3 linked regions of the Canis lupus familiaris genome follow. The protein of the gene in region 2 interacts with the protein of the main gene of each other region in a pairwise test. Links are inferred from orthologs where the notes say so. Each region holds a gene or a part of one and is shown on either strand. Other genes may lie near its edges. The genes, in order: NTRK1, SH2B1 and INSR.

What was found.
Region 1: the proteins of SH2B1 (region 2) and NTRK1 interact in a two-hybrid assay, tested with the Homo sapiens proteins (2 studies listed by BioGRID). The link is inferred for Canis lupus familiaris from reciprocal best matches to the Homo sapiens genes SH2B1 and NTRK1.
Region 3: the proteins of SH2B1 (region 2) and INSR interact in binary tests that used the Homo sapiens proteins (3 or more experiments, as listed by UniProt). The link is inferred for Canis lupus familiaris from reciprocal best matches to the Homo sapiens genes SH2B1 and INSR.

The regions. Positions count from the first base shown.
Region 1 is NC_049228.1:41,123,302-41,126,949, forward strand, and holds part of NTRK1 (high affinity nerve growth factor receptor), read right to left. Parts: intron 1,065-3,648; coding exon 824-1,064; intron 465-823; coding exon 306-464; intron 1-305. UniProt on the Homo sapiens protein: Receptor tyrosine kinase involved in the development and the maturation of the central and peripheral nervous systems through regulation of proliferation, differentiation and survival of sympathetic and nervous neurons.
Region 2 is NC_049227.1:18,540,990-18,544,412, forward strand, and holds part of SH2B1 (SH2B adapter protein 1), read left to right. Parts: coding exon 1-304; intron 305-755; coding exon 756-857; intron 858-1,102; coding exon 1,103-1,194; intron 1,195-1,303; coding exon 1,304-1,479; intron 1,480-3,423. UniProt on the Homo sapiens protein: Adapter protein for several members of the tyrosine kinase receptor family.
Region 3 is NC_049241.1:52,431,256-52,434,903, forward strand, and holds part of INSR (insulin receptor), read right to left. Parts: intron 2,064-3,648; coding exon 1,934-2,063; intron 1,595-1,933; coding exon 1,460-1,594; intron 1-1,459. UniProt on the Homo sapiens protein: Receptor tyrosine kinase which mediates the pleiotropic actions of insulin.

The sequences.
Region 1 (3,648 bases), on a different chromosome or scaffold from region 2:
AGTGTCAGGCCCTCCGGAGCAGCCCCTGTCCCCATGCCTGTCCCTCCACCCTGACGGTGCCTACTGCGCCTATACAATGCAGCTAAGGACGGAGTCTGGGCTCCATCCGGAAAGTGCTTTCTTTGAGTCTCCCCCAGGAGCCAGCTGGGCCTGGGCTGGGCGGGTGAGTGGAGGCGAGAATCCAAGAGGGAAGAGGGGAAGAGTGCAAGGAGCCGGGGTGGGGGGTGCGGAGGCAGGCCCCGCGGTCGGTCGCGGCACCGGCTGAGGCAGGGCCGGGGCAGGGCCGGGGCGGCGGGCGGGCTGACCTCGGTGTTGGACAGCTGGTACCAGGGCTGCTTGCCGTAGGTGAAGATCTCCCAGAGCACCACCCCGAAGCTCCACACGTCACTCTCCGTGGTGAACTTGCGGTAGAGGATGCTCTCGGGCGGCATCCAGCGGATGGGCAGCATCGTGCGGCCCCCCACCTGCGGGCGGGCGGGGCGCGTCACTGCGGGGGCGGGGGGTGGGGGAAAGGGGGACCGCGCACCTGGTCCCGCGCCCCCGCCCCGTCATTAAAGATGAATGGAAGGGGCTCTGGGGCCGGCGCTAAGAGGGAAAAACCGACGGTGCAGTCCCTGTGCGCCCCGAGAGCGGAGAAGGCGGGCCGGGAGGTAAGGGGCGGGGAGCCCAGAGCCAGACAGCCCGCGCCCCCACGCCGCCCAGGAAGAGGAGGGCGCGCAGGGGGTGGGGTCGGCAGTGCAGGGGGAGGGGCTGCGAGGCTGGGCGGGGGTGGGGGGCCTGCAGTGCCGGGAGGGGCCTCCGGGCTGGGCGCAAGGACCCTTACGCGGTAATAGTCCGTGCTGTAGATGTCCCTGCTCATGCCGAAGTCCCCGATCTTGACCACCAGTCCCTGGCCCACCAGACAGTTGCGCGTGGCCAGGTCCCGATGCACGAAGTGCAGACCTGCCAGGTACACCATCCCCGCAGCGACCTGGCTAGCAACGGCCAGCAGCTGCCCCAGGCCCAAGGGGCCTGGAGCCACGTCCTCCCCGCCAGCCAGCAACTTGGCGTCGGGCCCGTGGGACCTGCCAAAGAGTGAGGGAGAGAGGGTGGGCTGGGGAGGGAGCCCTCAAGAGGCTGAAGACCCAGATCCTGGGGAGCTGGGGTGGAAGGCAGTGGGGGACTCCAGAGAAGGGAGGAGGGAAGGAACAGAAAGACGAGTCTGCAGGGCCTGGGAGGGGGGCCGCCAGGTGGGCCACCTCAGGAGCCTCCCCCACTGCCCCCACTGCCCCCACTTCCCCCACTTCCCACATCCCCCCAGCCCCCCAGGTCACCTCCTTGAACTCTGAGCCCAGCATCAGGGTTCCCACTGGCCCCTGCCTCTCTTGCCCATGGATACCTCCCACTCTGTCCTCCAGATGCTTAGCTTCCCCTAAGTCTGCCCCTGCCTCCATGAAGGAAAGCTTCCCACCCAGGCTCCGAACCTGAAGCCTGGGGGTCCTCCTGTCTCTCTCCCCTTCACCCTCAATGTTCAGCCTCCCATGGGATCCTTCTTCTTTTCAAGTTTCCAGGATGCCTGCCACCTCCCACTGCCACCACTTCAGATCATTCCTTGATCACCCAGCTCCATTCCCCAGATATTCCGTCTTCTGACTCTAGCCCGAGCCAGTGGCTTTGTGGGTACTGCCCCTTCCCACAGGCCAACTTTCTCATCTCTTTATTTCTTCCTTTATGGCAGAGGCTTCCTAAACACCTCCGGTGTGCCAAGCACCGGAGCTACAGTAGAGAATGGGATACAGATAAACAGGGGCACCTGATGGGCACTCAGGCTAGGGATGAAAGAAGTCAGAGGAGACTTCCTGGAGGAAGAGACATTTAAACTGAGATTCAAGGGACGCCTGGGTGCCTCAGTGGTTGACTATCTGCCTTTGGCTCAGGGCCTGATCCCAGAGTTCCAGGATCCAGTGCTACATCGGGCTTCCTGCAGGGAGCCTGCTTCTCCTGCATATGTCTCTGCCTCTCTCTCTGTGTGTCTCTCATGAATAAATAAATAAAATATTAAAAAAGAAAAAGAAAAGAAAAAAAGGGGGCGCCTGGGTGGCTCAGTCTGTTAAGCATCTGTTTGCCTTCAGCTCAGGTCATCCTGAGGATCCAGGGTCCTGGGATCAAGCTCCACATCAGGCTCCCTGCTCCGTGGAGAGCCTGTTTCTCCCTCTCCCTCTGCTGCTCCCCCAACTTGTGCTCTCTCTCTCCCAAATAAATAAACAAAATCTTAAAAAAATAAACTGAGACTCAAACCCTGAAGAAAAGGGGTGAATAAGCCATTTAAAAGCATCAGAGATGGGCAGCCTGGGTGGCTCAGTGGTTTGGCGCCGCCTCCAGCCCAGGGCATGATCCTGGAGACCCGGGATTGAGTCCCACGTCAGGCTCCCTGCATGGAGCCTGCTTCTCGCCCCGCACCCCCATGAATAAATAAATAAAATCTTAAAAAAAAAATAAAAGCATCAGAGACAGAGAGGTAGGTGAAGTGGCTGGGAGAGAGACCTGATGTACCAGGCAGAGGGAACTGTAAGTGCAAAGGCCCTGGGGTGAGAAGGAACAGATAGGCTTCCTAGGGAATACCTTCCAGACTCATCCAGGAGCCTTCATGATTCCCTCCTTTGGGTCCCTGTATTCTATCCAGTATTGAGAGCCACTTCTCCCACATCCTGGGCCCCAGATGGTGGCATGTCCCTGGCCTGCATCCCAGGCACTCAGCACTGAGCCGATGCAGTGTCTGGTGAGCAAGGGAAGGGCCTCCTGTCTGGCTTCCTGTTGACTCCAGTCTACTGAGCCCAATGGCTCCACGCTCATCGTGGCGTCTCCCATCACCTGCCTCCTGCTCCCCACTGCCACTGGCTTCTCCTCCCCCTCCACAGACCTCTTAAGGTCTCCCCCAACTGAATTCTGCAGCCTGTGTGAGTGACCCTTCACTCCCAAAGGGGTGTTTGGAGACCACATCTGGACATGAACTGGACAGTCACACAGCACTTTCTCATCCAGAACCACAGTCCCCCGCTGAACCTCTTCTGGCAGGAAAACTGAGGCCAGAGAGATAGGCTACTTGGCTCAGCTAGGAGCTCACAGCTAAGTGTAAGCCTGGCCCTCCCCCTGCCTGCCTCACATCTCATACTGTCCCATCCTGGGGAAGGCGGGGATTCTCACCCAAGAAGGACTCAACAAAGGGAACCTGTGACGATTGCAGTCAGGGGTTGAGAGGAGACCATACTCCACCCTGGGCCATTTATTACCTGTGTGCCCCTGGGCAAGCCACTTAAGTCTCTTCTGTGAAACGGGCACATTTCTTGACACTATTAAAATTATCTGAACAGGGCCACCTGGGTGGCTCAGTGGTTGAGCATCTGTGTTTGGCTCAGGTCATGAGCCCAGGGTCCTGGGATTGAGTCCTGCATCGGGTTCCCCACAGGGAGCCTGCTTCTCCCTCTGCCTATGTCTCTGCATCTCTCATGAATAAATAAATACATAAAATATTTTAAAAATAAAATAAAATAATTGGCACAAACTAGTAAACACATCAGCATTGTTCTGTCCAAAGCAAAAGAAATGAATTTTTAGTGACTTTCTTCAAGTAAAAATTGCCAGACATGCTTGAAACTATGAAGAATACAT
Region 2 (3,423 bases):
ACTGGTTAGTGACGGAACATCCCCTGGAGACAGATGGACTCACCGATTTGAGAGGCTGAGACTCAGTCGGGGAGGGGGCGCCTTGAAGGACGGAGCGGGGATGGTGCAGAGGGAAGAGCTGCTGAGTTTCATGGGGGCCGAAGAGGCAGCCCCTGACCCAGCAGGAATGGGCCGGGGAGGAGGGGCAGCCGGGCCTACCTCAGGGGGAGGAGGGCAGCCTCAGTGGCAGAAGTGTCGCTTACTGCTCCGAAGTGAAGGAGAAGGAGGAGGAGGAAGTCGTCTGGAGTTCTTTGTACCGCCTAAGGTGAGGCTCCGACAAGGGTGGGTACCCGGGAGCGGGGCAGTTGAGCCCATGTGCATAGTTTTGCTCACTTTGATTTTTTTAAGATTTTTATTTATTTGAGAGAGAGAGTATGTAAGAGAGAGAGCATGAGCAGAGGGAGGGGTAGAGGGAGAAGCAGACTCCCCACTGAGCAGGGAGCCCAATGCAGGGCTCAGTCCCAGAACCCCAGGATCATGACCTGAGCCGAAGGTAGACGCTTAACCAACTGAGCCACCCAGGCATCCCCTCACTTTGGTTTTTAAAGCCAGCTTCTGACTCTGGGGTAGTAGTTGTGGGCAGGGCTGGAAAAATAACATTATGACCCTTTGTCTAACCCCCTTAGGGCATAGAAGGAAAGATGGGTCTCTGGAAGGAAGTGAAAGGTGGTTCCTGCACACCAAAAGTTTGGATCCTGTTCTCTTTCCCAACTTAGGCGTCTCGGCCTCGACTCAGCATTCCCTGCTCTACCATCACGGACGTGCGGACAACAACAGCCCTGGAGATGCCTGACCGGGAGAATACGTTTGTGGTTAAGGTAGGAGCTCCGAGCTCCTGCCCCCTTTGGAGCACTTGTGTTGGGGAAGAAGTTCACGTAGCTCATTGAAGGAAGGGACTTTGTGGAAGGAGGTGCCTGTGTGTCAAGTGCCTTGAGAGTGTGTCCCTGGGGCTGTAGCTTCTCTAGCAGGAGGGAACAGGAGGAGGATGTTTTTGTTCTTATTAAGGGAGGCTTATAGCCTCTGGACCTGGAAGTGGCCTGTGGGCCTCCTCTTGTCCTCGTAGGTGGAAGGCCCCTCCGAGTACATCCTGGAGACAACCGATGCTCTACATGTGAAGGCCTGGGTGTCTGACATCCAAGAATGCCTGAGCCCAGGGTGAGGAGCCTGACTGCTGTCATTGAGGGGATCAGGAGGGGATGGGGAGCAGCCTTGTGCCTCTCACCTGCTGAGTTTCTTCATAGCACCATTCTCCCTGTCTCTGCAGACCCTGCCCTTCCACCAGTCCCCGCCCTATGACCCTCCCCCTGGCCCCTGGGACCTCATTCCTTACACGGGAGAACACAGACAGCCTGGAGCTGCCCTGTCTCAATCACTCAGAGAGTCTGCCTAGCCAGGATCTGCTGCTGGGACCCAGTGAGAGCAATGATCGCCTGTCGCAGGGTAAGGGTGGAACCTCACAGGGCTGGGAACCTCAAAGCCGCCCCCGCCCCCCGTGCCAGGCCCAGGACTTCCTTCCAAACTCAACTGCGCACCCCATTCCTGCCCCTCAGCTGCACCCCCTACACACCGAATGTCTGGCTTTTGTCCCAAAACGTACCCTGCCACAGTTGGCCACTTAGAATCATCACCATCACCACCTTGCACGAGCCCCAAGCAAACTCCCTTCCAGCCTTCCGTACCCAGCCTTTGCTCCTTTTCTTTTTTTTTTTTTTTTTAAGATTTATTTATTTATTCATGATAGACACATAGAGAGAGAGGCGGAGACACAGGCAGAGGGAGAAGCAGGATCCATGCAGGGAGCCTGATGTGGGACTCAATCCTGGGACTCCAGGATCGCACCCTGGGCCAAAGGCAGGCGCTAAACCGCTGAGCCACCCAGGGATCCCTGCTCCTTTTCTATAAAGCTCGTGCAGACCTCCACTCTGGCTGGAGATAACGACTCTCTTTCCCAAGCTTCTGGAACACTTCATACACGTCTTTGTTTTGCTTTTACTCTGCATCTCTGTAGGTATGTCGATGTTTTTCAGTCAAAAACCAGATGTTTTTGACTCTTTATTTCTTGGCCTGACTGAACATACACAGCCCGACTTGCACACAGGTATGCCCAGAGACATGTGTCTGCCTGGCCCAGCTCTCACCTTTTTAGACTCTATTATTCCCTTTGTCTTGCTCCTCTATTCCGAGTGGAGGTTCAGTGGTGCCTGGCACCCTGGCTGTGCTCACTGAGTAAACAAACAGATTGAACAGTCTTGGAGCTAAGATGGACCTTACAAGTCATCGGTTCTATGCCCCTCAGGCAGCTAAGACCAGGGAGAAGCAAAGGCTTTTCTTTCTTTTCTTTCTTTCTTTCTTTCTTAATATTTTTATTTATTTATTCATGAGAGACAGAGAGAGAGAGAGAGAGAGAGGCAGAGACACAGGCAGAGGGAGAAGCAGGCTCCATGCAGGGAGCCGAATGTGGGACTCGATCTGGGGACTCCAGGATCACACCCTGAGCCAAAGGCAGGTGCTCAACCACTGAGCCACCCAAACATCCCTGGGAAATGGCTTTTCTGAGGGTACCCGAAAGCCCCTGAAAAAGACCAAGGCTATGCAAGTCTGCTCTCTGCCCCCCTGCTCTCCATACCCCACATACACCTGTCTTCTGAGCACTGACTATGTGCTCAGCCTATTCCCACAGGCTCAGGCCTGCCAGCCAGCAGACATTCAGGAATGCCCTAGTCCACAACTGAGCCTGTGCTAGGGTCTGGGGCAGGATGCAGGAACCCAGAGATGCTCGAGATGAGCTCCTTGTCCCAGACCAGCTGAATTGATAAGCTGTCACTCCCTCTGAAAAGTAGGACTCCAGAATGGAGAGCCTGTGCTAGTGTCCTCTGAGCAGCACTAGCAGGAAGCACTGTGGGAGCTCAGAGGAAGAAGGGAATCGAGGAAAGTGGGATAGACAGGATACCACACAGGGGAGGTGAGAGAGAACAGGGCTTAGAGGAAGCAAATGGCCAGAGCCAGACCTAAGGTGGGGAGAGCCTGGGAGCTTGGGAAAATCGGGCGGGATGATCAAGCTCATGTGGAGACTCCAGGAATATAAGCCAATGTGAACATCAAGGTGGGGAGGTTGGGCTGATTAATAGGAGGATCTTTGATGCCTCTGAGACTTGGGGACTTTGTCCTGTAGGCCAAAAAAGGACACTTTTGGGCAGTCCCGGTGGCTCAGCGGTTTAGTGCCACCTTCAGCCCAGGGTGTGATCCTGGAGACCCGGGATCGAGTCCCACATCGGGCTCCCTGCATGGAGCCTGCTTCTCCCTCTGCCTGTGTCTCTGCCCATCTCTCTCTCTCTGTCTCTCATGAATAAATAAATGAAATCTTTAAAAAAAAAAAAAAAAGAC
Region 3 (3,648 bases), on a different chromosome or scaffold from region 2:
TATGGACCCCTGCCCTAGGGCCTACTTCATTTCCCTGGTCCTGAAACTACAGGCAGCTGCTCATGGCTAGGAAAGGACTTTCAAGAAGCAACATTTAGAAATAACTGCTCAGAGTTTCTAAATAACTCTGCTTCATACTTTTTCCTATGAGGTCCCCTTCCAAACGAGTTTTCTAAATTAACAGTCTTATTCTTTGGGGGATGAAGCCTCCAAATGGTCTTTCCCCCTGAATTTTCCAGGAGGGGAAACTTTTTTCTTAAGAAACATTGATAAAGGACATTATATGCAAACAATCTCGTAGAACCAAAACATGAAGAAAATTTAGTTTGCACTCAACTCTCCTACAGATCTCACCTCTTGCCTTTTCTATCTGGAGACATTTGGAAACAATAGATGCACACTTTTTACACTTAACATTTTAACATAGGCTTATCCACCAAGTTGTAAAATATTTTTATAAGCATCATTTAAAATTTCAATTGCTACATCATTTTAATTTATAAATTTACTTGGCAGTTCTCCTGTTGCTGGGTATTTAGATCACTTCAATCTTTTTGAGACTTTAAATAATATTGCTCTAGGGGCACCTGGTGGCTCAGCCAGTTAAGTGTCTGCCTTCAGCTCAGGTTGTGATCTCAGGGTCCTGGGATCGAGCCCCATGTCGGGCTCCCTATTTGGCAGGGAGTCTGCTTCTCCCTCTGCCTCTGATCATGTGTTCTCGCTCTCTCAAATAAATAAATACAATTTTAAAATAACATTGCTCTGAGCAGCTATTAACAACAGGGGGATAAGAAGGATTATCTAGCCAAACCACTGCCAGCACAGAGTATTAAAGCTCTCTTTTCTTTTGTTCTTCCTTCCCTTTTTTTGCTAATTTAGGAAGATAGTATTTTCCTTCATTTTACTTTATGTTTATCAGACTATTAGTAAGACTGGACAAGTCTGGAAGTGTTTAATGGCCTGTTTGTGTGTCTTGGTCCTATAACAAAAAAAATTGTTTTTTCTATGACTAAAATTTACAACAAAAATTGGGGGAGTGGGGAGATAGGTAACACATCTCCCTGACCAAAAAATAATTCTAATGTTTATGCTTATGATTTTTTTTCCCAATTCTGTTGAGATATAATTGATATGTCAGATTATATTAATTCCCTGACAAAATGTAAAGTATATAAAGGATCGACAGTTAAGCAGAAATATCCCACCCCAGCCACCCAGTTGCCTTCTCCCGTGGTAACCACTGCTGTGGGGTTTCTTTATAGCCTTCCACAGACATGATATGCAAGACAGCACACGTGTAAAGATGTGACGTGCATATATGTAGTATGATGTGCAAAAAAGTGTCCATGCGAAGACACAACATGCTAACACCAGCTCACGTGTAGACGTAAGACACACAAACCAAAGGGTGATGCCTTTTTGATGAAGAGCCCGCGCACTGCACTCTTTCTACACTTACACTCTCTCTGGACAATTGTCGGGTTGATCCAGATACCCTCCGTCCATGACAAATTTCAACACCTGTTCATTAGACAGGCCTTGGTAAGGCTGCTCTGCCAAGCTGGTGATTTCCCAAAGGACCACGCCAAAGGACCTGCCAACGACAGTTGAAAGTAGTAACAAAAAAGCCATTAGAGCACACGCACACACACACACACACACAAACACATGCCCCCTTTCTTGGTTTCCTAGAACGCGGTTGGCCAGTTAATTAAACAATTCATGCTGCATTCAGAAATGCCTATATTAGTGTCAATCGGATCACAAGTAGCCGTGCAAGGGTCCTCAGACAGGACATCCCCTTCACTTCCCGGATCAAGAGCCTATGAGGAAGGAAGGCGGGTTTTAACTGGCCCCCTCTTGCCGGTCACACTGGTGGGAGGACCTGGTATTCAAGCCCAGCATTCTGTCCGCCAATCCATGCACAACTCACCACATGTCAGAAGAAGTGGTAAAGACCCCGTCCTTCAGGGACTCCGGTGCCATCCACCGCACGGGGAGCAGACCCTTGCCTCCTTTCCGATAGTAATCCGTCTCATAGATGTCTCTGGTCATCCCAAAGTCTGACAACAAATGATTCACATGGTCTTAACCCTTAGCCTACAGTCCAGGTGTCTCCATATTTACTGCCCCATGCCTTGGAGAACCTTCAGATGGGCTCACCTGCCCCAGGTGTATGCTCACCTAGGTGGCGGTCAAGTCCAGTGAGAATGGATTCTGAGGGTACTCATGGGGAAATAGAGGGAGAGAGTGGACCACCAGGTAAGGGGAAGGATAAGGAAGCACCAAGTGGCCAAGAAGCAACATTCTGGCCCACAGCCTGGGAATCCCATTCTCAGCAATACTTCCTTCCCACCCATGACCTTGCAGTTATCCCAAACCGAAGTTTTGGGTCTCTGCAGCCAACATGCTCTTCTCTGCTAGGTATGGGCCCCCCACCACCCAGATGCCCAGCTTAAAACCCAGGATTGGGTCCCCTTTTGACCTCTCTCCTCATACCCACATCTACAACAGCAGCGCGTCCTACCCACTCTTCTTCCACATCCTGCTCTAATCCAACTCTTCCTCTCCATCACTCCAGCCCCGCCCCAGGCTCACTGCCAGTTTCACCTGCAGGACCTTCCCCCCATCCTGACCCGGACAGTCCACTGCACAAGAGAAGCTACAGGATCATACTATTTCTTGTTTCCCATGGCTAAGGGAAGAGGTCTTTGGGGATTATAAGGAGGATGCCACCACTTCTGGCTTCCCTTGCTGATAATGTCGTTTTGGGGTCATAAATAGGATCACATCACTTCTAGCTTCCTACTGGCTCCTTGGGATGATACCTCGGTGACTAATTGACTAATAAGGCCCTTCCAGGTCTGCCTCCTGCCTCTCTCCCTAACCTCACATCTCATTCTGGTCTGTTCTCCTCCACGTTCCTCTAAATTCACCCCACATCAACCATCCTTCTGGCCTCAGGCCTTGGCATATGCTGGAGTGCCCCCTGGCATGCTGTCATTCAGGTCAACTCATCCTACAAGTTTTGGCCCAAAGCCTGCCTCCCTGCAGAGAGAGGTGTCTCCTCTCTACGAAGGAACTCTGTGTTCCCTTCAGGACTCCTTTCCCAGCCTTCCTTATCTTGTTTATACAAGCTCTATGTTACTGTTCACCCTTGAATGGCCCTGTCCAGTGGAACGTTCTGTGATGATGATGAACACGGTCTACATTTACATGGCCCGATATGGCAGCCAGCAGGCTCAAGGTGGCGACTGAGCGCTTGAAATGTGGCCAGTGCAGCCAAGGAACACATTTCCAATTCTATTTAATTTAAGTTACCTTAAATGTAAATGGCCACAGGTGGCCAGGGGCTACCCAGGGGCTGGGGGATGCAGATAAAGAGCACCTCCTGCATGAGGGCAGGAAAATCGTGGCGACTTATCCATCGCCAGTCACATCTATGGGCTCCTAGAGTGGTGGCTTCCACTGACGGGGAACACAGTTATGCAGAGCAGTAAACACGCACGCCCACGTGCAAATGCAATTAAACTACAGTGTGAGGACCAGGGGCCCGCTCTGCACTACTGGAAAAAGCTGAGCTGCTTGGGTCAGACAACCCCTTCCGAAATCGAACCTGGCCTGGGCCACATGCTTCAAAGCAGAAGG